Canis lupus familiaris: one gene and its partner. The main gene of each other region encodes a partner of the protein of the gene in region 2 in a complex. Links are inferred from orthologs where the notes say so. Each region holds a gene or a part of one and is shown on either strand. Other genes may lie near its edges. The genes, in order: SUFU and GLI1.

What was found.
Region 1: the proteins of GLI1 (region 2) and SUFU are in contact, whole or in part, in a crystal structure (PDB 4KMD), measured with the Homo sapiens proteins. The link is inferred for Canis lupus familiaris from reciprocal best matches to the Homo sapiens genes GLI1 and SUFU. Residues at the interface, in NP_005260.1 of Homo sapiens: Gly119, Ser120, Tyr121, Gly122, His123, Leu124, Ser125, Ile126, Gly127; in NP_057253.2 of Homo sapiens: Leu144, Tyr147, Asn153, Thr154, Phe155, Gly158, Asp159, His160, Val161, Ser162, Trp163, His164, Gln212, Asn265, Leu266, Ser267, Gly268, Val269, Ser270, Ala271, Glu376, Leu380, Lys398.

Annotation. Positions count from the first base shown.
Region 1 is NC_049249.1:15,182,138-15,194,228, reverse strand, and holds the start of SUFU (suppressor of fused homolog), read right to left. Parts: upstream 10,524-12,091; 5' UTR 10,343-10,523; coding exon 10,161-10,342; intron 5,998-10,160; coding exon 5,863-5,997; intron 1-5,862. UniProt on the Homo sapiens protein: Negative regulator in the hedgehog/smoothened signaling pathway. Down-regulates GLI1-mediated transactivation of target genes. Down-regulates GLI2-mediated transactivation of target genes. Part of a corepressor complex that acts on DNA-bound GLI1.
Region 2 is NC_049231.1:1,912,167-1,924,753, reverse strand, and holds the start of GLI1 (zinc finger protein GLI1), read right to left. Parts: upstream 5,721-12,587; 5' UTR 5,375-5,720; intron 2,150-5,374; 5' UTR 2,123-2,149; coding exon 2,026-2,122; intron 1,793-2,025; coding exon 1,700-1,792; intron 1,230-1,699; coding exon 1,034-1,229; intron 768-1,033; coding exon 623-767; intron 280-622; coding exon 190-279; intron 100-189; coding exon 1-99. Other genes in the region: INHBE (inhibin beta E chain), read right to left, coding at 8,384-9,141, 9,362-9,659. UniProt on the Homo sapiens protein: Acts as a transcriptional activator. Binds to the DNA consensus sequence 5'-GACCACCCA-3'. Regulates the transcription of specific genes during normal development.

The DNA of each region.
Region 1 (12,091 bases), on a different chromosome or scaffold from region 2:
AGGAAGCATACTGGAGGCACTGAATAAATGGTGACTGATCAAAATGTAAAGACCGTAAGTAGAGCACAATGGTTTAGAATACTGGCTGTGGGATCACTAGACCTGGCTTCTCATTTATTACCTATGCAGTAAGTTAAACTTAAATTTCTGCATCTATAAGTGAGACATAATAAGAATTCCTTGTGTCATAGAATTACCATGGGGATAACATAAGATACCTTTATGAAAAGAGTTTATATAGTTTATATATAACCTGGAATACAGTAAAACCTGGGGGGAAAAAGTTTGCTTATATTATTATGCTAAAGACAAAAAAATGTCCATACATTCCTTTCTCCCCAATCATGGAAAGAGCATAGGAGCACATGGGTGGCTCAGGCAGTTAAGCAGCTGCCTTTGGCTCAGGGCATGATCCTGGGGTCCTGGGATTAAGCTTCGCCTTGACTCCCTGCTCAGCGAGGAGCCTGCTTCTCCTTCTGCCTGCCATTCTCCTGCTTGTGCTCACGTTCTCTCTCTCTGTCAAATAAATAAATAAAATATTTAAAAAAGAGAGAGAGGGAGAGCATAGAATAGAGCATAGAATAGTAGAGACTCTAGGAGATCCTGCCACTCTCATTAGCTTGCTGTATGGCCTTCAGGGGGTTACTGTACTTTCCTCCACGTACAATTAAGGGACATGAACTAGATCAATGTTTCCCATTTTTTAACAATAATAGTACTGAATCATACTTTTTATTTTTATTTATTTTATTTGAGAGACAGTGAGAGAGAACATGATAGGGTGGGCAGAGGGAGAAGCAGGTTCCCTACTGAACAGGGAGCCTGATGTGGGGCACAATCCCAGGACCCTGGGATCATGACCTTAGTTAAAGACAGATGCTTAAATGACTGAGCCACCCAGGTGCCCTGAAAGAAAGAATTGTAAGCACACTCCATGCCCAGTGGGAGCCTGAAGCAGGGCTCCAATACACAACCTTGAGATCATAACCTGAGCCAAAATCAAGAGTTGGACACTTAGCCAACTAAGCCACCCAGGTGCCCCTGAATGATACTTAAAAAAAAGTTCCCTTTTCAATTCACTTTCAATTTTTCTAATCATGCCTAGTGTCAGGTTCTATTTGGTGTTAGCGTATCTTTTTAACACCTCTAACATACTTGCTAATCTCTTGAACAAAGAGAAATCTGGCCTCAGATTTAGAATCTTCTGTGACAGGCCACAGTATTAAGCTACAATTTAATAACATTGCTTTGTTATCACTGCATTCATTTCCATAGTTACCTTTAAATTATGGCAAACAATACTGGTTTCCATTTGTGATAATGACTTAACTTTTAAAAATATATATCAGTTTCAAAAAGGGGAGTTAATTAATTAATTTTTTAGTGAGCTCTACACCCAATGTGGGGCTTTAACTCATGGGGCTTTAACTCATGACCCCAAGATCAAAAGTCCCATGTTCCTCCAACTGAGTAACCCAGGTACCACAAAAGGAGGGTTAGTTTTAAAAGAACATAAACTAGGGGATCCCTGGGTGGCTCAGCAGTTTGGCGCCTGCCTTTGGCCCAGGGTGTGATCCTGGAGTCCCGGGATCAAGTCCCATGTCGGGCTCCTGGCATGGAGCCTGCTTCTCCCTCTGCCTGTGTCTCTGCCTCTCTCTCTCTCTCTGTGTCTATCATGAATAAATAAATAAATCTTCAAAAAGAAAAAAAAGAACATAAACTAGATGACCTACTACATGGCAAAAATTATGAAGATGGCACTAGAAGTTTGGGAAACATTGGGCCAGAAGATTGTCAAAGTCCCCTCAACCCTGGAAGTGAGTGCTGGTGCCCTAGGGTATCAGGCTGTGATCTCCCCTGGCCCGCTTCCTTCTTACTGGCCTTCAGCTTGCAGACACCTATCAAACTTCAGCTCCTCCCTGGAGCTTCTTCAGATCCAACAGCCTGACTAAAAGTCATATCCCTCATCCTGCTCCCAAGTCATGTTCATCCACGGATTGCAGCATTTATTTCCCAGTACTATAACCTTCTCTTTATGTTTATCTCCCATCTAGAACATGAACTCCTTGAGGTAGGAATTATGTCTTGGCATTTTATCCCCAAGACATATATTAAGATGTTCTGCATCTGGGACAAAATGGGTACTTGAGGAACATATGCTGAATAAATGAGCTTGGTCCCCCCCCCCCGCTTTTTTTTTACTGAATGCAATAAGACAGTGGAAGAACACTACCAGAAATTCATCTGCCATAATTTCAGTTCAACACTTCTTTAAAAGTGTTCTATCATCCATTTAAACTGGATGGTAGAACACTCACCTTTCTGATCTCAGCTTCAAGCACTAAATTAAATAAGAATCTTTAAATCTGTTTCAAAGAGGCCTTGCCACATGAAATGTTCATAAAAGCAAACTTTTCTTCAAGAAACTTACCAGGATTGAGAAGAGATCAGTCACACCAGCACAAGACTACTTACAAATGTACTTATGACTTCTGCAACACAGACCAGAACTGGATAAATATCCAAGAACACTCCTTCCATGTCCTTCTAGGGGTAGGACATAATACCAGAAAACACTAGATTCCAGCAGTAAAGTACGGTCCAAACTGAGGTCTAATGTCATAAATGACATATGAACATCACAGTGCTTTATCATACAGAAAGGGGGTACTTTCAAATGTGAAAAAACATTAAGGAAGGCCCTCTTTAAAATTCAAAGGTTGCAGAGTCCCTGGGTGGCTCAGTTGGTTAAGTGTCTACCTTCAGCTCAGGTCATGATCTGCGGTCCTGGGATGGACCATACATTGCACTCCCCGCTCGAGGTGGTCTGTTTATCCCTCTCCTCTCTGCCTCTCCCCCGCACTTGTGCCTGCTCTCTCTCTCTCAAATAAATAGAATCTTTAAGAAAAAATTCAGAGGTTGCTCCCTCTGAAATATGAGGCTTTCTCAATTATATTCTTCATGTCACTTTGGGATTGGACCCATCCCTCATATGCAAGTATAGTGTAAGAATCTTTAAGCCACATAGGAAATGATATTTTTTGACTGGAATAAATCTGTCAACAAAAAGGTACAGGCTAACTACACTAAATATCCTCTGCAGGTTCTTTTTTTTTTTTCCTTATTAAAAATATACATTAAAGTCCAGCATAGTGCCTTTATTGCCCACATCTGTTTGCTATTCTATCTCCATTATTAACACTGTAATGCAGGGTCCCTACTCAGGCAAGATTAATTCACTGTTGCCAAAGCCTTCTGACATTGCAATGGATTAGTTTGGAAGGCTATCTAGGCAGGTCCAAGCATTGCTCTCAACATGTGATTAGTAAGGAGATGAGGCCTGGGCCCCCAGCTTGATGAGAGAGAAGAGGAAGTTGGGTTGGACCTGTGATCAGAGAGGTAGAAGACTCTAGTGGTTAAAAGCCCAGACTTTGGACTCAAGACAGTTCAAGTGAATCCTAGTTCTTTTATTTTAGGCAATTCATTTGCCCCTCAAGTGACTCAGTTTTCTCCTCTATAAAACGAAGATAACAAAAGAACCTGGTAAGATTGTAAAGTATTTGATGCGATGATAAAGTTGATGCTAAGAACTAAAACAAAGGGGAAAAAAACCCTGATGATTATCATCTTCTTTATCATGATACCATCATCACCCCCAGAATCATCCCCTTATGCTGCTGAGGCAGGGCAGGAAGAGCCCTGCTAGTCTTTCAACCTACACATGCTAAGTAGTCATCACCAAGATACCCAAAAGATAATATAGAAGGGAAAAAAGACAAGACAGAAAGCAAAAAGCAGGAGAGGATATGGTACAGAAATAGAATCAGTTCTTGATTAACCATGCTAATGAGGGGGGAGGAAGACAATATTTAAGTTGAAGAAAAAGAACTCTTCTCACAAAAGACTGTAGAAGAAAAAAAAATCTTTTTTTTTTTTTTTTTTAAATTCTAGATAGTAACTTGCTCGAGGACATGATATAATTGTCTAAAAGCACAGTCGTTAAAAGTCTGAGCTCTGGAGCCAGAATGCCTTATTAGAATCCTGGCTCCAGGGACCCCTGGGTGGCTCAGTGGTTGATCATCTGCCTTTGGCTCACAATGTAATCCCAGGATACTGGGATTGAGTCCCACATCAAGTTTCCCGCAGGGGGGCAGCCCCAGGGGCACAGCGGTTTAACCCCACCTGCAGTCTAGGGTGTGATCCCGGAGATCCGGGATCGAGTCCCACGTCAGGCTCCCTGCATGGAGCCTGCTTCTCCCTCTGCCTGTGTCTCTGCCTCTCTCGCTCTCTCTCTGTGTCTCTCATGAATAAATAAATAAAATCTTTAAAAAAAAAAAAAAAGATGTTTCCCGCAGGGAGCCTGCTTCTTCCTCTGCCTACGTCTCTGCCTCACTCTGTGTGTCTCTCATGAATAAATTAATAAAACCTTTTAAAAAAAAATCCTGGGGATCCCTGGGTGGCGCAGCGGTTTAGCGCCTGCCTTTGGCCCAGGGCGTGATCCTGGAGACCCGGATCGAGTCCCATGTCGGGCTCCTGGTGCATGGAGCCTGCTTCTCCCTCTGCCTGTGTCTCTGCCTCTCTCTTTCTCTCTGTGTGACTATCATAAATAAATAAAAGAAAAAAAAAAAGAAAAAAAAAATCCTGGTTCCACCCATCCAAGCTGTGTGACCTTAAGCAAGTTATAGACTCTTTGTATTTCAGTTTCCTCACCTGTAAAATGGGGCAGATAGGAGTCTACCAGTATTATATGGTTGTGGTGAAAATAAAATCAGTTTATACATGCAAAGTGACTAGAATAATACCTGGCTCATAATCAATGCTTAATAAATATTAGCTTTCATTATTAGTATTGCTGTTATTGTTTCAGCTGACTTAATACTAAGTTGATGTTTAACTTAGTATTAAAATTTGTTTAAATTCAGTGGCTATAGGTGTACATAGGAGGGCAGGTAGAATTTAGAAGTATACAGGGAAGGGGCACCTGGGTGGTTCAGTCAGATAAGCATCTGCCTTAGGCTCAGGTCATGACCTCAGGGTCCTGGGACCAAGCCCCACATCCACTCCCTGCTCAGTGGGGAGTCTGCTTCTCCCATTCCCTCTGCTCCTCACTGACTTGTGCTCTCTCTCACACACATGTAAATAAAAAAATCTTAAAACAAACAAACAACTTGGGTTCCCTGCATGGAGCCTGCTTCTCTCTTTGCCTATGTCTCTGCCTCTCTCTCTCTCTGTCTCTCATGAATAAATAAAATATTAAAAAAATAGAAGTATACAGGGAGAAAATGGGAGACAAACTAGAATAAAAAATGTGCTATGGATAATCTGAGCACAGACAACTGCAGGTGATGAGGAAGTAGGTACAATCAATAGAGGGAGAGAGATGGATATATTCATGATAAAGCAAGTAAAGTAAAATGTTAATTGCAGAATCTAGGTAGTGGATATTTGCTTGTTGGCTATAAAATTCTTCCAGCTCTGCCTTATGTTTAAAATTTTTTATTATAAGCTAGAGGGGGAAAAAAACAAGTAGACTTAGAGACAACAAATCAAATTCTGCATCAGAGCTACACTGCCTGTCCTCTGAGCTCAAACACCAGAGCAAGCTTAGAAAAACCTAATGGTTTTGGAACACTTGCTCATCATCAACACTGTCCTGTACCAGATGAGCAGAGGTCAGGTGCTGACTTGGATCACTCTGGCACAAGTAGATATAAGCAGAAGGTAGAAACCCAAAGGTTCCATCTCAGAAGTGCCAACCTCAGAGAACTATGACATTATCACCCCTGCTCAGGGAAACCCCAGAAATAAGACTCAAGGCTAAAGAACAGACAGGTGGAGGATGGGCAAGTGTCATACACTTACTCATGGACTCTGCTGTCACCATAGAGATCACTCAGGCCAAAGCTGATGTAGTGCCAGTGTTCAGGGATATTGGCAGAAGGGCTCCCCACATTCCTGTACATGCTAACATAGTCCAAGGGGTCTGGGCCACCCAACCTGCAAAAGACAAAACACAGTCAGTGAGAGCCTGAAAGTACACAACATGAAGCTAAGACATTATGCCTTACAAATCTAAAGACCCCATCCTGGAAGAACCTGGAATGAAAGATAACTAAAAGGAGGCCACATCTCTGGGATAAGACCAAGGGACAGGTAGCTAGAAGCTGCCCAATTCCATAAGCACAAGACGCTCCCTTCTATCCCCAACATGCAGGACCTCTTTTAAAAAATAAAACAGACTAGGTGGTTGTCCCTTTTGCTTCCTCCTAATTCAAATTACCAATCCCAAATGGGATTGGCAGGGATTATCTCTCTTCCATGGTGCCTGTAAATATAACAAACTTCAAGGGAAGAGGTGCATCAGTCAATCAATCAGCTTCTGTTGAAAGATCATCCTGAGCATCCCCAATGGGCATTGTTCCTGGAAGCAGAGGCTCGGCTCCACTCCTGCCTCTTAGACAGCTAATTCCTGAAAGACTATATTGTGCCCTATGTTAATTACAGTTTGTTCTAAACAAACTCAATGGCTCCAGACCCCAGCCTGTACCCCACAGACCAAAGCTGGTCTTTTCTCATGCAAGTGACAAAGGCCACACTTAGGCTAGCTCAGCCCTGCACAGAGAATTGCAGCAGGCCAGACTGACCCGTGAGAGTGCCTGCATTCAGAAGATGATCCCAGGAGACTGTCGCCTCAAAGGTAGGGCTAGAATATTAAATGATTTGGGGCCTCTGAGGACCACATTAAACTTCCCCCATAATTCTAACAGACAAGAAGCTGAGGAAGAGACTCAGTCATTAGCTCACTCTGAGGATTTAATTCCATAAGGGTTTCCTTTAGTAGAGCAATTAATGCTCTCTCTTAAAAAAAAAAAAAAAAAAGGTCCTGCTTTTCTTCAGAATGGATAGGGAAACTTAATAGACTTGAGAAACAGCCTAAATGGAAACCATCAGCGGAAGGAAGTCTGCATTTAGCCCACAAACACTCTGCATGTGAGCTGCCTCGGACATCTGACTATTCCACAGACTGCAAAAACTTTGCCTGCCCCTAGGACGTTGATGGAGTACACTTTGCAATTGGCATCGTATGCTGCAGGAACACTAATAACCAAATAAAAGACATGCTACATGTGAAAATAAAAGACATGCTACATGTGATCCCAGCAAGAGTTCCAGTACCATGCAATTCAAATACTATTTAAAACCAGTAAGTCTGGTTTCATCCTCTTTTGCCAGGATATTATTTGCCCTTATAGAAATCCTTATTCTCTGCTAGGAAATGCTAAGTTATTTATAGATCTTGTAAGAAAGTTGCTACAAATAGCTCAGAAACTCAACTGAGTGGATTAGGAAAAGAGACAAATCCCCATGTCCTTCCTTAACTCTGATTTGACCAAATCATTTGAATGTTTCCACAACTAGTTGAATACAGAAAAGTTTGCTGGGGGAAGGAGGAAACATAGGGGTAGCTATCTCTGGAAGAACCACATGATAGCTGCAGAAGCCCAGAACAGATGGGAGTGACTACAAACTCCAGATCTGCTCCAGTTTCCTGCTGCAAATTCCCAGTCTTGCCCCTTTCAGCCTAAGTGCATCCAGCAACAAGTGGCAAAACTGTATCCACACTTCCATACTCCATCTGTCACACCTCTGCAGCCCTCTCTCAGGAGATACTGCATCAAGGATCGAGGCTTTATCTTAAAACTATAACTGTAAGGAATAACCAAGAGTCAGACAAAATTAACCTTGTCCCCAAGCACAGTGTTCTGTTCTACTTACTCAGACACCTGATGGGAAACAGATGATTATGTAGAAAATAATCATATCTTGCACTTAGAAAAATATGTTATCCAAGGACCCAGAGTATCCCTTGATGCTCTTCCTTGAACTTACTTCCTTGAACACCTAACTTCATTCCACATGACAGCTGTAGGACTGCAGTGGCTCCTGGGTACAAGCTCTGCCTCTGTGTTTCTGTTCCCTGCCCACTAAAGTATCAGCTTTCAGCCAGGATGTCCCTGCCGGCCAAGGTCCACTAGCCAAAGAACCAACCTTCTGTCACAAGAAAAGGAATCTCAAGGGACCGTGGGCCACAGCCAGACCCAGGTAGCCTTGGTCAGTCAAACTGCTAACGAGGCCTTGTGGCATCCCAAGTGTGATGTATATTAATGAATTAATTTCAGAATCTTAATTATGCAAACCCTTCCAAATCTTAGAAAGAACTAGTTGCTCAGCTGCTCCTTCTTATATTTTTCTGCATCTGGCCAGCATTTCTAATCTCACAAAGTACTCTTTATTAGTCATTACATGTTGGCCCATTTCTGAAGATAAGTCCTGCCTGGTTAACAAGCTTGCCCAAATCAGTCTTAGTCCTTTGCATGTGCTTTAATATCTTCTGCACACAATTCTATCCTTCATGGCCAACTGGGTGACATAAAAACAGTTGCCTAAGTCTGTGTAGGGATTTCTCTGTTCATTCAAATGAGACCTGAACCAACAGCATCGCAGAACCAGGCCCTCTTTCCCCATGACACAATCCAATACAGTTCATCACAACACATACTTAAATATAGGCAAGAAATGAGAATGGGTGATTAAGTTATCAAGAGCTGCTTTTCACTCAGAAGCTCTCTTCAAAAACTCCTCTCAACCAAAGAACAGTTTGCCTGCTGAAGAGAGAACTGTACCACTGGCCACATCTCCTCTGGCTACCAGACATGACCCTCTCATAGGAGGTGGCTGGTCCCCAGGCCCTGTCTCTTCATATTGTCCCACTGACACAGGCAACTGGCCTCAGCCCCAGACAGTCTAGTTTCTGCCATCTCCAGAGGAAGTTAAGAGGTTATCCTGGAGAAGCTTCCATCCTAAAAGAAGAGGTAACCAGCAAAGACATCCACTCTCTCAACCTCCCCCTTTGGGTCTACCTGCCCCCTTGGCACATCCCAAGCTTTTTTCTGAACAGTCTTTCAGGACTCAGTGAAGGGGATTATTTAATACAGTGCCTGCATGAATGCAGTTCTGGACAAATTCTACCAATTCCTCAGTCAATATGGTCCAGAAAGACCATGAAGACAGGCTCTTTGTCAGAGTCCCTCTAACACCTGTTTTGCCCAGTGGCTGTGAAAAGAGATAGGTTGCAAACAGGAATGGGAAACAAGAAAGGACCATTCCTACCCCAAGGGCAGGCCTTCTATGATCCTGAACAGAGCCACTTGAGGGTTACTCTCAGCTTCCCTGAGAGACTGTGGTCTAAATCCTGAAGCTTGGGGCCAGGAAGCCCCTCTAAACATCTGGCTGCACTTCTTTGCTCCGTGTCTCAGGTCTTCATCATTTACTGGGGTCCCCGGCAATCCTGAGCCAAACCATGGATCTATCTCCCTGACCGTGCCTCTGTTCTAGCCAATGTCCTAGGCAAAGCGGGTGCAGAGCCAAAGGAAGCTCTGCTTGGAGAAAGAGAACTGTGCCGAGTAAGCAGAAAGTTTATCAAGAAAAGTTGCTCCGTGAAACTTCAAACGCAAAAGCACTGCACCGATATGACTGACGTCTGAGCTCATGGGGAAGGTATCTTAAAAGGAGACCTCCTCTTCCTCTCTTCACAAGCACGACTCTCGCAACTTGCCTCCCTCCTAACCTATGGGAGAGCGGGGATCCCCAAATCCACCGTACCCTGTGCAGTCTCAAGCCCTCTGAGCTCGCCAGCCGCACTCCTCCAAAGCCCTCTCTTGTGCTCCCCAGGCCCCGCCTCGCCTCCCCCATCCCACTTCAGCCGCCCTTCTTCCCCCACCCCCGCCCCCGGCTTCCCTTAGCCCACTAATGACCCCCTACAGGCGCCCCCTCCTTTCACCACGTTTACAGTTCCCTTTCTCCTATCGGCCCCCCCCCCCGCTCCTACACACACACCCCCAATTCATTCTATTCTCCTAATCCCAGTTAACCCTTCATCCTCCCCCCTCGTTAACCCTCCTCTACCCAGAGGCTCCGTTAACCCCTTTGTCCCCGTTCCCAACTTCAGCCTTAACTCCTTGCCTCGCAGCAGGACGCCCTCTTTCCAAGTGCTTTAACCATTCTTCTCCACCTCCTCCTCCCCCGCAGATGACTTCGCCCCGGGCGTTCTAACCCTTCCCTGCCCGCCGTCGTCCGTCTCCCCGCGGCCCAGGGCATACCAGTACTTGACGATAGCGGTAACCTGGAGCGGGTTCGGCTGGTCAGGGTAAAGGCGACGGCACTCTCCGTAGATGGCGTGCAGTCCCGGGGGGAAGAGCGAGGCGAAGGCCGGGGGTGCACTAGGGCCAGGGGCCGGGGGCGCGGCGGGGCCGGGGGCGCCGCTAGGCCGCAGCTCCGCCATCCGGGCGCGTAGGGCGCTGGGGGGACCGGGGAGGGTGGACGAGGGGGAGAGCTCTGACGCGCCAGCAGGCGGACTCCGTGGGTGCGACTCCCCCAGGCGATGGGGGCTGCAGCGAGGTCTAGGCTCCGCGCCTGCGCACGGCGCACCGTCTGCCCAGGCCGTAGCCGCCGCAGAGACGGCCGGAGGGTGCCTCGGGGGCCGCGGAGCGCTCGGGGGGGCGGGGCGCCGGCGCGCCCTATCCCGGTATCCATTGGCTAGTGTCTGTGCCAGTCACAGATGGGGAAGGCGTGACTTGGCAATAGGTCCCGCCTCCCTCTCCGTGTGTGGGGGGGGTCCCAAGGCTCTTGGCCTCCCCCTAGTGTTAGGAGGAACCCAGATTTAAATAGAAATGTTGAGGCATCCTCAGGTGCTAGGGTCCCAGGAAAGCTGTGGGAAGCTCGCTGACGAACGACTTGTCGCTATTGTGCTGACACCCTGCTAACAAGAATTTAAGCACAAATTTGACAATAGTGGATTGATTCATTCGTCCATTTAGCGTGGCTTTAGTTGTAATAGATTATAAATCTGAATATTTCCTACCATCTTTGAATGTCCATTTACCATATTTACTGACACTAACCCCGCCAAATTCAGGGGTTGTATGTTGAAATATTTACTTTGGAGTCTTGTTAAAAAGTAGCAAGAGGGATCCCTGGGTGGCGCAGTGGTTTAGCGCCTGCCTTTGGCCCAGGGCGCGATCCTGGAGACCCGGGATCGAATCCCACGTCAGGCTCCCGGTGCATGGAGTCTGCTTCTCCCTCTGCCTGTGTCTCTGCCTCTCTCTCTCTCTCTCTCTCTCTCTATGACTATCATAAATAAATAAAAATTTAAAAAAATTAAAAAAAAAGTAGCAAGAAAAAAAAAAAGTAGCAGGAGTTAGGGACGCCTGAGTGGCTTAGTGATTGAACGTCTGCCTTTGACTCGGGGAATGGTCCCAGAGTTCTGGGATAGAGTCCCACATTGGGCTCCCTGTAGGCAGTCAGCTTCTCTCTCTCTACCTATGTCTCTGCCTCTCTCTCTGTGTGTCTCTCTTGAATAAATAAAATCTTTTTTTTTTTTTAAAGTAGCAAGGGCAGCCCCGGTGGTGCAGCGGTTTAGCGCCGTCTGCAGCCCAGGGCGTGATCCTGGAGACCCTGGATCGAGTCCCATGTCGGGCTCCCTGCGTGGAGCCTGCTTCTCCCTCTGCCTCTCTCTCTCTCTCTCTCTCTCTCTCTCTCACTCTGTGTCTCTATGAATAAATAAATAGAATCTTTAAAAAAAATTAAAAAGTAGGAAGAGTTAGGTAAACTAAGACTAGTTTTTAAAACTTGGTAATTTTTTGTCTTTATTTTTTTTAAGATTTTATTTATTTGAAAGAGAGAGAGAACAGTGGGGGAGAGAGGCAGAGGGAGAGGAAGAAGCAGACTCCCTACTGCTGGATCCCAGGATCCAGAGATCATGACCAGAGCTCAAGGCAGACACTTAACCTACTGAGTCACCCAGGCACCCCAAGACTTGGTAATTTTTAAAATAAATGCTTTTAGTGATGACAATCTCTTCTTTGTTCTGTTTTATGCAGATTGCCTTAAGGAACATCAATATTCATTATCTACTATAGACCTGCTCTTTCCCATTACCATTGGCTTTCTGTAACTGGGAGAATTTTTTGTTATTTTAAGTAATCTCTACATCCAATGTGGGGCTCGAAGTTACAACCCCCAGATTAAGAGC
Region 2 (12,587 bases):
GCCGGCCCAGCGGCAGACCGTCTCATAGGCAGATTCGGGCTCAGGCTTCCCCTCTCTCTCCAGGTCCTCCCGCCCATCCAGCATCCCCAGCAGGGGATCCTAGGGCAGAAGAGGCAATCCTAGGTCACTTGGGTGACAGCTTCGGTTTAGCTCAGGTTTCAGAGTTAAAGTCACCCTCCCCTCACTTACCTGTGTGCCTGTGGAGTTGGGGCTGGACATATCACCCTCCAAGGGCTCCTCTGGGCACTTGCTAACCAGCAGGTCCAGCTCAGACTTTAGCTTCCCCAGGGGAAGAGGTGAGGGTGATGAAGGTAGAAGTGAGCAGAAGGAAGAGGGAGCCCAGCCAGGTCTTCCTGCCCTGAGTGCCCCCACCCAAGCAGCTGGAACCCTTGGGTTTGGAAGAGACTTCCTCCTCAGACAGCACCGGGATGGGCAAAAGGTGGGATCTCATCTGGAGAGTCTGATTCAGCCCCAAGGAGTGAACCCCAGCAACCATACCCCTTTATTTTTGTGCTACTGAAAACTTTTATCTGCCCTGTCCTTCCTTCACCCCTTCCCATAAGGCCCGCCGCCCACCCACCCTGAGCTGAGGGAAATTGGGGAGCAGTATGAGGACTCTCACCTGGCAAGTCGGGAGGGGTCCCCGGGACTGAGGATGCGGCATCATCCCACCCTGAGAAGGGTCATGGGGACCACAGGGCTGGACCCCGAAGGAAGGCGAGGTCCCTTTTTGGTGATTCATCTGGGGTGGGAATCCCAGAGATGGGCTGAGGAGGAGGAGGAGGAGGAGGAGGAGAGGCAGTTACTTAGGACCATCATCTCAGAAAGTTTCAGGAGTTCTTGGGCTATTTTGGAGTGTGTCTGAAAGACGTATGGGAAGTGGCTGAGGCAGTCTCGGGGAAGCACTGAGGAGGGCTTCAACACCTTTGAAACGATAAGGATTCAAATAGGGCCAGGTGCTTTGGAGGGCTTGAGGCTTTTAACGGGGTTTGGTAGGGTCTTTAGGGGCCTCTTAGCCCAAGGCTCTCTGCACCTCATGGTGCCGATGGAGAGGTGACCGTAGGAGCCCCCGGGAGATGCACAGCGTGAGTTGATGAAGGCCACAAGGGAGCTGGGTGAGGTGCGGATAACTGTCTGCAGGTCCAGGCTGGCGTCTGACAGAGGTGAGATGGAGAGTGCCCGCTTCTTGGTCAACTTGACTGCACTTCGGGGAGGAGGAAAGAGTGGGGCTGGAGCAGGAAACAGGGGAGACAGCTGTGGTAAATGGGGCATGTCTTCACGCACTCAACCCATGGGTCTTGACTCTCAACAAAAAACATGACACGTGACTCTGTTTTGCCCTACTGACCCCATCTGTGACCTCCGCATCATGCCCAGACCCCTTGCTCCAATCTCCAAGCATTTCCTCCTCCAAGTTAGATCCCCCACCCCTTGTCCCACCCACTTTCTCTTTAAAAGCAAGTGCCAAGGGATGCCTGGGTGGCTCAGCGGTTGAGCCCCTGCCTTAGGCCTGGTCCTGGGGACTGGATCCCGGTCCCTGCAAGGAGCCTGCTTCTCCCTCTGCCTGTGTCTCTGCCTCTCTCTTTCTCTCTCTCTGTCTCTCATGAATAAGTAAATAAAATCTTTAAAAATAATAAAAAATTAAAAAATAAAAGCAAGCACCAGAGGGGCAGAAAGGGAGGAGATGTTGAAGCCTCACCCTCAGTGCAGCTGGTGGTCTCTCTGGCTGGCCCATAACTGTGGGGGCCGGACATGAGGTTGGCCTGGTGGCAGAAGGGCAGACCAGGCAGTCCTAGAAAAGAGAGACAGCCAGCATGGGGAATGGGAATGGGGGACACACAAGGCCTCACCTTCACACCCCAGAAGAGACTCCATCCTCTATCCCAAGCCTGTATGACATGGAGGCTTGAGTCTTCTTGTGGATTAGAAGCCTGTGTGGGGTGGGAGATGGAAGAGGGATGCCTGGGGCTGGTTGAGAGAGCCGCTGCCAGTCCTCAGGACCTGGAGGTTGGTATTTGCACTGACCTTCTGTCCCCATGCTGGGGGCCTGACTGGGGAGGGGCCGGAGACAGCAGGGCTCTCCATAGCTACTGACTGGCGGTGGGGTCATCGAGTTGAACATGGTGTCTCAGAGGAGAGTGTGGGGACACTGTAGGAAGGGAAGGGAGATCTGCAAGTTACAGAGGCAGGAGGGAGATAAGGAAGGTCAGATAACTAAGATCTAGAACCCTGGGCAGGGTCCCTCTAAGACACCTGCCATGGAGAATCAATGTGAAATGAGCATCCCTCAGCCAGGGGCAGGGGGAGGAAAAGAGCCCCAAAGAAGCAGAGGCAGTCCTGGGGATCCTTGTGGGAACGGAGTGCCATCTTTGCCTGAGTGGTCTAAGTGCACGTGTGCGCGCGCGCGCGTGCGCGCGTGCGCGCGCGCGCGCGTGTGTGTGTGTGTGTGTGTGTGTGTGCGCGCGCGCGCGCGCGCGCAAGGGGGAGGGTTATGAACCTAATGAGCCTGTATGAGCCTCAGGTGATTTTATGCCTGGGCCCTCCCTCCACATCTTCTGGCTCTGACCCGGGGCCGGCCTTGAGGGGTGGGATGGGGAACCCCTGGGGAACCCCTTTGCCGTCCTCCGTTCCTGCCCCGGAGCGCCCGTCTCCAATCTCGGCGGCACCCAGCAGAGGGAGCTCTCGCCTCGGGCCGCGCCGGGAGGCCGGTGGGCCGGGAGGGAGCACGGAGGAGCGGCCCTTCTCTCTTTAAGGCAGAAAACTGTAGAGAAGGGGCTAAGGTTTCTGAGGGGAGCCTCCGGGGTCTGTTGGGTACAAAGAATGGAAACTGGTGTTGTCCTGGGGCAGAATGAATTCGGGCGCCCCCCTAACTTGCTCTGTTTGGGGGGGAGCAGGAAAGGGCCAGAAAGAGAAAGGCCCTGGGAGAAGGGAAGGCACAGGCACCATCCAGGGGAGAAGAGCTGCGGGAGGAGAGGGTTGGGCCGGCGCTTCCCTCCTCAAACTCCGGCTTCGGCTCCAGCCCGGGTTTTCCCGCCTCCCGGGGCCGAGGGTGGGGTGGGGCGGGGTAGGGTGGAGAGCGCTCGGGAGCGGGCCCGGCCGGCGCGGTGGGTGATCCCGGGATGCTGGGATTTAGGGTAAGGGAGGGGTGAGATGGGGAGCGGAACCCGGACCCCACGACGCAGCCCGAGCCCCGCAGCCGGGACCGTACCCTTCCTAACTCCTCCTTTCCCAGCGCAGGGCCGGGCCCCGCATCCAAGACCTCCCAACTCGACCTTGGCACTTTGTGTGTGTGGGAGGGGGGGGGGGGGCACAGCTGGCTGGCAGCTGGATAGGGGGACACTTCTCCCGCCTCCTTCCTCTATGACTCACCGGGGGAAGGAGGCGGGGCCCGCAGACGACCCCCCAATACTAAGGAGACTCCCCCAAACGTGCCTACTCGGGCATCTTCCCGCGCCACTGCCCGCCGCCGAGGGGCCGCGACTAAACGGGGCGACATCCCCGCTCGCCCACGCGTGCCACAGCCCACCCACGTCTCCCCTTCGCCCTGGCGACAGGAAAATTTCGCCAACGTTTCCAGCTTCAGTTACGTCTTTTGCTGGGGTGTGGATGAGAGCGCAGGCCGGGGCAGGGGGCTGAGGGTCGCCCTGATGGAGCCCTGAATCACCCTCGGCGTCTCCCTACTTTCCGGAGGCCCCCTCGCACCCCCGCTCCCCAACTCCCAGGAGTAGGCCCCGCCCCCTCCTCCGGGTCCCGCCTTCCCCGCCCCCGTGCCTCCTCGGCCCACCCAAGTCGCCGCCGCAGGCTCTGGCTGCAGACGGCTCCGCTTCCCCCGCCCGCCCGGGAGCCCAGTGGAGCGAGCCGCGGCGGAGGGGGCGGGGGGGCGGGGGGCGGGACGCATTCTTCCCTCCTCCCCTCTGTGCGGCCAGAAAGCTGGCAGCGGCGCCCGGGGGGGCGGCGGGCACTGTTGGAGGGGGGGGGGGGTCCCCGTGGCTGGGTGGAAAGGAAAGAAGAATCCAGAAACTATAGGGAAAGAAGGTGCCTGGGTAAATAAAACAAGGTGTGTATGGGAGGAGGGAGGGGTCAGGACACCTTGGGTTTTGATTTTCGCAGCCGGCTTCCCAAGGGTTAACCCCTCCAGACCCCCGGGAACCCCTTAGTGACGTCAAGGGCGGGGTCTGTACTGCCTGGCTAGGGATGCCGGGGAGATAACTGGGGGGGTGTCTCTGGACCCCGCCCCCATAGGGAAAACCACCCTAATTCCGGCCCTTACAACTCCCCGGGGAAATCGCCCCGCCTTCCCCTCCCACTGGACAGTGAAGATCTATCCTATGAAGACCCCCAGTTCTCCAGCCCCCAAAACCTTAAGTCCCTAGTCACTATGGGATCCCCTTTCCTAATCCTGTCCCCAAAGCCAGCGGCCCAGGGCGGATTGTTTCGGGGTCACCGGGCCTGAAAGAGGCTTCAGAGCGGGGAGCAAGGGCAGGCAGGGTGGTCTGAGGCAGAGGAGGGGCCTCGGCCCCCAGCTCCCGTTGGGGAGGGGGGTCCAACCGGGATACTTAGGCAGGCAGTGGCCAGTGGTCCCGCCCAGTCCCAGTAGGGGTCTCCCTGCGGCTGGCCCAGCTGTCCCGGTGGTCCTGAGGTCAGAGGGTCAAGCCAGGGTCTCCTCAGCTCCGCCTCGGCACCCTGACCACGGCTCTGGGGACTCAGGAGTCCTAATTCCTTGAGGAGCCTTCTAGGGCCTAAACAAGACGCCGGCCCCTCCAGCCCCCTTCCTAATCCAGAAGACGCTCCGTTCCCGAGAACACATGCACCAGCAAACGCATCTGTCATAAGACAGGTCAGGGGTTCAAGCCGAGCCATCCCCCACTGGTTTGTCCCCTTGCACACACCCGTCTCCACCCCACCCAGGGCTCTCTCCGTGGCTGTTCCCTCCTTTCAGAAACCCTGACGTCTCCTGCGGCCCCGACACACCTGGACTTCCGTCCCTACCACGCAGACCTCCAGCTAGCCGTCCCTCCTGCCTCTTCATGCCAACCTCCTGGAAGTAACCTGTCCCTAATACATAGGAGAGGCGGAGACAGACAAAGAGATCCCCGGGTGCCTGGGACAGAGACACAGAGGCTGTCAGAGGAAGGAGAAGGAGAAGGAGAAGGAGGAGAAGGAGGAGGAGAAGAAAAAAGATACAGAGAAAGGGAGATACAAATGAAAAAAGTCCTTCAAACTTTCTAGATCTCGGCCCGGGCTCTCCCACCCCCTTTGTGCCTGGGTGCCCCGGGTCTCCCTCTGGGCTGGCCAGAGCCCGTCGCGAGCAGGGCATCCCCTCGCCCCCTCCCCTACGGTTCCCAGGTGGTCCCCCGCCCGCCCCCCTTCTCACCTCCTTCTGGGCGCCGGGCTCGGGATGCGCGGTCCAGGGCTGGAGTGTGGGCTGGGGGGTGTGCGGTGGGGAGGGGGGGCGCACAGGGCCACGGCAGCGCAGCCTCATGCCACCCCCACCCCCTCCTAACCTGGCCGCCAGCCCTCCCGCCGGCCCAGCCCGCCGGGCCGCGAGCCGGGACCACCCGCGAGAAGCGCAAACTTTTTTTTCCCTTTTGCAGAAACTTTTTCTCGCTCAGGCAGCTGGCGCGCCGCCGCTCTTCCCGCTCGCCTCTCACCTCCCTTCCACTTCCCTCCCTCTTGCCGCTCTGGAGAATGAGGCGGGGTAGCAAAAGCTAGAGAGGGGGTGCCGGGCTTATTGCACCCCCAGGACCCCCAGGATCCTCCCCCTCCCTGGAGGGACCCTATACTGCCTCCCCCCCCCCCCCCCCCCCCCGCTGAACACGCTGCTGCTGGTGGGCAATAAATCCCGGCATGGATCCTGGGATCGGCTGCCCACGGAGCGGCACCCCCACCCCAACCACAGTCAGAAAAAAACTAACAAATACATTGGGAGGTGGGGGGCGATGAAAAAGTTCATCCAAGAAAGATAATATTGGAGGGTAGCGCCGCCGACTTTGGTTGGTGCTGCGAGTATTGCGTCATCCTGCAGGTTATCTGTTGACCTCCCTCTTTCAGGGGAACATGAAGGGGTTAGGACAGATTTGGGGTTTGGTGCAAACAGGACTGGAACAGAGTTGGCTTAGAAGTGAAGGGTCTATAGGGCATCGAAGAGAGGGCAGCGGCTGAGGCTCCGGGTGCAGAGTGTGCGGTTCACACTAAGGAACCCTGGGGAGGCACTCAAGCGCTGTAACGCGGAGACACCCCCCACCCCCCACCCCCCCGCCCGGTGTCCTGCGTCTCTAAGTTCTGGAGACTGCGGGCACCTCCGCACCTCGAGGCCGCCGGCTCTCTGCTCTTCCAGGCTGTCTGCTCCCTCTGCTGGCCTCTCTGGCACATGGCACACTCCCGCAGGCTGCAGGCGGAGAAGACTGGGGGAGCTGCAGGAGTAGGAGGCTTCCTAGGTCCCCCCACCAAACCCCAGTTAGGAGCCCAGGGAGGGGTGTACCAGCCCAAAGAAACAGAAGGGCACCCTAGAAGAGGCTGCCAGTGCGGAACGGCAGCGTCTGAGAGGGGAGTGCCCTGTCCCTTCGGATCTGTGTTGCCATAGTGACTGGATGCAGGGGAAGGGGCAGCTATTTTAGTCTCTGTGACCTTTCTTTATGAGAAAGGGGAAAAAACGTGGTGAGGAAAAGGAGTCCTTTCCTTTCCTGTCACCCCTCAGATAGACCTCCCACATCTTAGCTCTGCTTCCAAGAAGCACCTTCTTGGGCCTGGAGAGTTAGTAGGTCAGCTATTAAGACTGAGGGTCAAGGGGAAAAGGTGAAAGTGGGAAGAGGTCTGAGGCCCTGCAAATATAGGTTGTAATTGTGGGGGAACAGATACAGAGTCCTGTTTCACTGTCCCTCCCCCATATGACTTTGGCCTAGACACCAGTTATACCCAGAGGTCAGGCAAGACCAGCGGTCAACGGGAGAAGGAGCCCTACACATTCTCCTGCCTCAGCCGTCTGCCCTTTCTTTCAGAGAAGCTCTTTTTTTTAAATTTTTAAAAAAGATCTTATTTATTTTTTTAAAAAAGATTTTATTTATTTATTCACGAGAGACACACACACACACACATAGGTGGAGGGAGAAGCAGGCTCCATGTGGGGAGCCCAATGCAGGACTCGATCCGGGACCCCTTGGATCACGACCTGACCTGAAGGCAGATGCTCAAGCGCTGAGCCATCCAGGCGCCCACAGAGAAGCTCTTTTAGAACACGCTACTTTTTCCTCCTCACCTAGGTCTCCAGATTAGTGATTCTCCAAAATTTTGACTTTAAGACCCCTTTACACTCCTTTTTTTTTTTTTTTTTTTAAGTAGCCTCCCTGCCCAACATGGGGCTTGGACTCGCAACCCTAAGGTTAAGAGTCATCTGCTCTACCCACTGAGCCACCCAGGCACCCTGCCTTTACACTCTTAAAATTTATTGATTTTTTGTTTATGTGTTTCATATCAATTTACTATATTAGAAATTAAAACCGAAAAAAGTTTGTGACACAAGAATACACAAGCACACATCCCATTAACAATGATGTCAGAAAGATGATGTAATCACATGCCACGTAGCCTCTGGAAAACTCCACTGTGTACTTTTGAGATAATGAAAATAAAAAAGGCATCTTAATATTATTATGAAAATAGTTTTGACTTGCGAACACTCCTGAAAAGGGTCTCAGGGACCTCCCAGGGGTCCCCAGACCTTACCTTGAAAACCACCCCCCTGGGTCATCACCGCAGCCCCTCTTTATGACTCAAATTTGTTGATTGATTTTTCCCCTCATTTTTATTGGGTAAGTATAAACATTTGTCTCCTCGGTGGGTCCTGTCCCCCACTGGGGAAAACCAGGAAACTTCTTAGGCCCAGCACTCCTCTCTCCTGGCTCCCATTTCTGGGGCCCTCCCAGACACCTCCTCTTAGCCCCCTGCCCATCTCCTTCTTGGCCCTCCCTTAAAGCTCTTCCGCTGCTTCTGCCCTTGGCCAGCCTGGTTCCCCTGTCCGAGGCCTGCTTCCCTTACTCGAGGACTTTCTCTTCTTGGGAGAGACTAGGTAAATTTTCTCTGCCTTCTGCCCTCCCTCCATCCCTCCCTCACCTCTGCTACCTTCCCTTAGGGCTTAGGGAAGGAAATCATGCTTCCTGGGCAGACTCTTTCAGAGAACACACTTTTCCCATCTCCCCACACACCAGCCAGCCTGGAACAGGCAAGATTCTGGATGAACAAGTGCCCATTTGGGTCACCCAGGTCACACTGCCACCCTGCCGTTGGGTAGGGGTGTGGGTCAGGAATGCAATGTGGCCCGCCACAGATGCCCTTTGCCTGGGAACCCCCAACTGATCTTTTCACTCCAAATGCCCAGGTCCTCGTGCTAGCTGCAGCCACAGGCCTCCACCACCATGTCTGGCACATCTGTCTTGACCACATTGCCATCACGGTCCAGGTAGAGGAGAGAGAGAGGCCTCCGGGCCGTAGGAACACAGCAGGACGTGCCCAAGGGCCAAGGGTTGTTGGCCTTGAGGAGGCTGAAGACGGCCGAATGGAAGGAGGCGGCGATGCCGGGGCTGCCAGCCAGGTGCGGGGGGCACTGTCCACTGCAGTAGTTTAGCTGGTACCCCTCGGGCTGCAGGATCCAGTCCCGCCATCCCAGCTCCTGGAAGTCGACATAGTGGTCTCGCCTGCAGCACAAGGGGGTCTCGGGCTCGCAGGTGGGGGTCCTCCTCCTGGCCCGGCCCGCTCCGGGCTCCCTGGGCCAGATCTGGAGCTGCAGGAAGGGCCGCCGGTCCCCGGCCGTGTCCAGGAGCCGCCGCCCCAGCTGCTGGGCAGAGGTGCGGTTGCCTGGCAGGAGCCTGCACTTCAGCTGGAGTTGCAGGACGGCGGACTCCTCAGCCCTCAGGCCACCAGAGGGCAGAGCGAGGGCGTGCCAGCCCGCAGCCGGCAGGTGCTGCTCGGCCAGGAGGGTGCGCGCCCCCCGCTGCCCACCGCCCGGGCGCCGCCCGAAGACCCTCAGGTACAGCGAGCCGGGCGGCGCGGGCCGCGCGTGCAGCCAGAGGCGAGCCCGGGACAGCTGGTGGGGCTGAGCCGTGGACAGGTCGAAGGTGAGCACAGAGCTGCAGGCCGAGGTGGAGTCTGCCCGGGAGACGGCAAGGGGCAAGCACGTGAGCGGCGTGGCGCTGCTCCAGGCCCTGCAGGCCCAGCCCGCCACTCGCTCGTCTGCAAGAATCGGGGACCGCCTGGTGTCCCCCGCCCTGCTCAGCCGGTCCCTGCCCCAACTTCTCCTCCTCCCACACCCTGCTCGCCTGCCTTTCCTGTCGGGGAGGCCTCCCTCACCCGCCTCTCCCTTACCCACCTGCCACCGTTGCAAAGCTGATGACCTCGTCTCCATCTGCTATAGGCATGCTTCGGGGCTGTAGTCTGCGGAGGGCTCTGGCCAGCGCTGCCTGGGGGGGAGGGTGAGTTATCCTGGGACGACTGGTCAGGTGCAGCCCCTCCAGGATCTGCTGCTTGGCTAGCTCCAGGACCAGAGCTCGTTCTGCTTGGGGTGCCAGCGTGGGGCCTCCGCAGCTGGGACATCCAGACCCTGCCCCCTGTGCCCACACCAGTGCCCAGAGCAGCACCAGCTGGGGCTGGACATCAGGGAGCCCCATGCTCCTGGAGAGTGGCCCTGGGTTGGGTCAGGAGCCTCGGATGGCAGTTGCTCCTTCTGTTGATATGATTGCGTGGAAGCCAATGAGGGCACAGCAGCAGCAGACAGCAGTGCCACACCTACCCTTGGCCAAGGGTAGAGCCACCTGTCTTCTAGTGCCTGGGACTCAGGAAGGCTGCATGTGGATGGTCTTATGGGTGGCTGCATATAGCGCATCTGCCAGTTTGGCCCTCACAGCTCACGGCTGGCTCCTGAGTGGGGCCTCTTTAGAGCCGTAAGCTGGGGCACCCTCACTTAGTGGTCAGCTAGCAGACCTACCCTCTGAGCCCCTGGATTGGCCACCTGTGCTGCCCATCAGGTCCCTGCAGGGGGTGGAGGCCCCCCCCACCTCGGGTTTCACCATCTGGCCCTGGTCACTGAGTTTGAGGTAGGGGTATGGGGGTGGGGGGACAGTGTGGACACACATGATGCAAGAAAGAGAATGATTTCACATGCTCAGTCCCCAAGGTCTGGGGCTCGGGGGAGGGACGCATAGGAGCAAGGTGGGGAGGGCGATCTCCCCCCATACCTCTAGTCCTTCTAGCTTACGCAGCCACTTCTGCTGCAGCAGCTTCTGAGGCAGCTGTGAGTTCCACTGGTTATCTCCCCAGGGTCTCTGGGCCAGAAGCAGAACTCTGGTCTCTCTATTCCTAGCAATAGGGCTAGGACAGGGGGGAGAGGAATGGAGTCCTCCTGCCCAGGCCAAGGTGGCAGTGCCAGGGGGCACGGAAGTCACCTCCTGACCCTGCCTGTGCTGGCTGCCCAGAGTCCAGTTGGACTGGAGCACAACGTGGAGGAGGGCTGGAGCATGGTGGGGGGGTGGGGTGCATGTTACATGCATGTCTGGGGAAACCCAAAGAGGTAGGGGTGGTGGTGATGCAATCTGACAGCAGGGCAGAGTCCATCAAGGCTGGCAGTAGGGCATGGGATTTGGGCTGGGTCTCTTTAAGGTAAGAGGACTGTGAGAGTTACCTAAATCGGGGCATCCTAGAAGTGGTTCGAGGCCTCTGTGAGAGGGGGCAGGAAATGGGAGGTTTAAGAACTTTGAAGAGCAAGCGCGAGTGCGGGCGACCTTAGTTCCGATCTGGCCCTCTTCACACTCCTCACTGGCTAACGGGAGGGCCATGGTCCCTCCTCCTTGCACTTCCGACGGTAGACTTCATGCTAGCCTCTCTCCGGATGCCCCGGGTTTCTTCAAGAAGCTAGAAGGAAGGGCGTGTGATTTGGAACTGTGCCCCACCTGCATTTTATTCCCCCCCACCACCCCGCTTAGCCCAGTGGGGGCTGTCGAGAGCCCAGCAGATGGGGCACCTGGGAGCGGGACGGGAAGGGCGCGCCCCGGGGCGGGGCCTCAGTACCGCTGGTGTCCGCCACGTGGCGGTGTCGGGCCGCTGGGCGCCGCCGCCGAGCTGCCGGGAGCCGAGACGCAGCCCGCCAGCCCCTCGGTCCCCAGGCCCAGCCTCTCCCAGCGGAGCAGACGCCAGTCCCCGTGCGCCCCCTCCGCCAGCACCGGGGCGCAGAGCCGTCGTCAGGCCCCACGCCGCTGCTACCTTTGGTTTCAGACCTCGTCACTTTGACACGTGGCAGTGGAGCTTGGTGATGGGTGTCAGGCCCTTCCCAGAAACGGTGTGGTGGCGGTGGGGGCGGGGGGGGGGGGACAAGGAGGTTTTAGACCCTCCTGTTCTCCCTACATTTCTCCCCCGGTGGGGGGGAAACATTCAAGCCCCTCTGCCCAGTTCTCTCCCCCAGCTCTCCGCCACCTCTCTGTTGGTGGAGGCTGGTGAATGACCGCCCTCTACCCCTGGAGTCTGGGACATCGAACTGCAAAGAAGTTTCTGCCCATGGTGGAGTCTCAGAGGGCTTACCTGTTGGCGCCAGACACAAGAGTCCAGGGAAGCAGCACAAAGTGGCTGCAAGAGTCGCTGACCCCACTTCTCCCCTACCCTCTATCAGGTGCCCCCAGTTTTCAGCTCTTCCTACCCTCTTGCTGCTGTGCCTGGCCTGGCCCTACCTCCCCACTGACACTTACGTCAGAACCCAGCTATAAATATGCTCTTAGCATCTTAGTCACTTTCCCCAAGAAGTGCTCCCAGGTTATAAATACCCCAGCCATCTGCCTCACAGGCCCGCCCTACCACCAACCTGGTTGGGTGCTGGGGGGGAGGGACAGGCTTGGGGGCGGGTAAGAAAGGAGAAGAAGCCCTAGTGATTATCTTGCCCAAATGAGAAAAGCCTGACAGTCTAGGGTTAGGGGCCAAGAGGCTCTGGGAGCAAAGGTTTGGAAGAAGACAGATCCACTCTTTCCCCTTTTAACAGAAGGTGGAGCCAAAAAGAGAGGGAGTAATACCGATTCAGTATTTATTTTAAAATTTGTAATTTTGTTCATCATGGATTTTTCGGCATTCATCTTGCTGTCTTAAAAATATTGCATTGATTATTGATCTCAATCGATGAATTTCTTGGCAGTCCCTTACAATTTTGCCCCCAAAGTGACTGCTGTACTTTACCTCGCCTTACTCTTGGCCCTGGGAACTAAGGCTGTAGCCGAAGGGAGAGAGCTTAGATCTAGGGGAGGGGTGGCTTGTGGGGCGGCCGTGGAAGGGGGAGGAAGAAGCACAGAAGACTTCCTTAGATGTTCCCCTTAGATGAGGATCTCCTCAAGGCAAAAATGGCATGGCTTCTGTGGGTTGCTTAGGAAGCCCCACAGCTCAGATCTGCAGGTCTCCTGAGGAGATCCCTTTCAAACTTTCTCCTCTAGGGTTCCTCTTCAGGGACCTCAGGCTCTGGAGGGGGGGGTCATAAGCTGAGCAAACACAGACATCACGTTACCCAAAGGACACCTGGGTTTTGCGCAAACTCGGCCTTGGGCTGCAGACAATATCGATCCCAT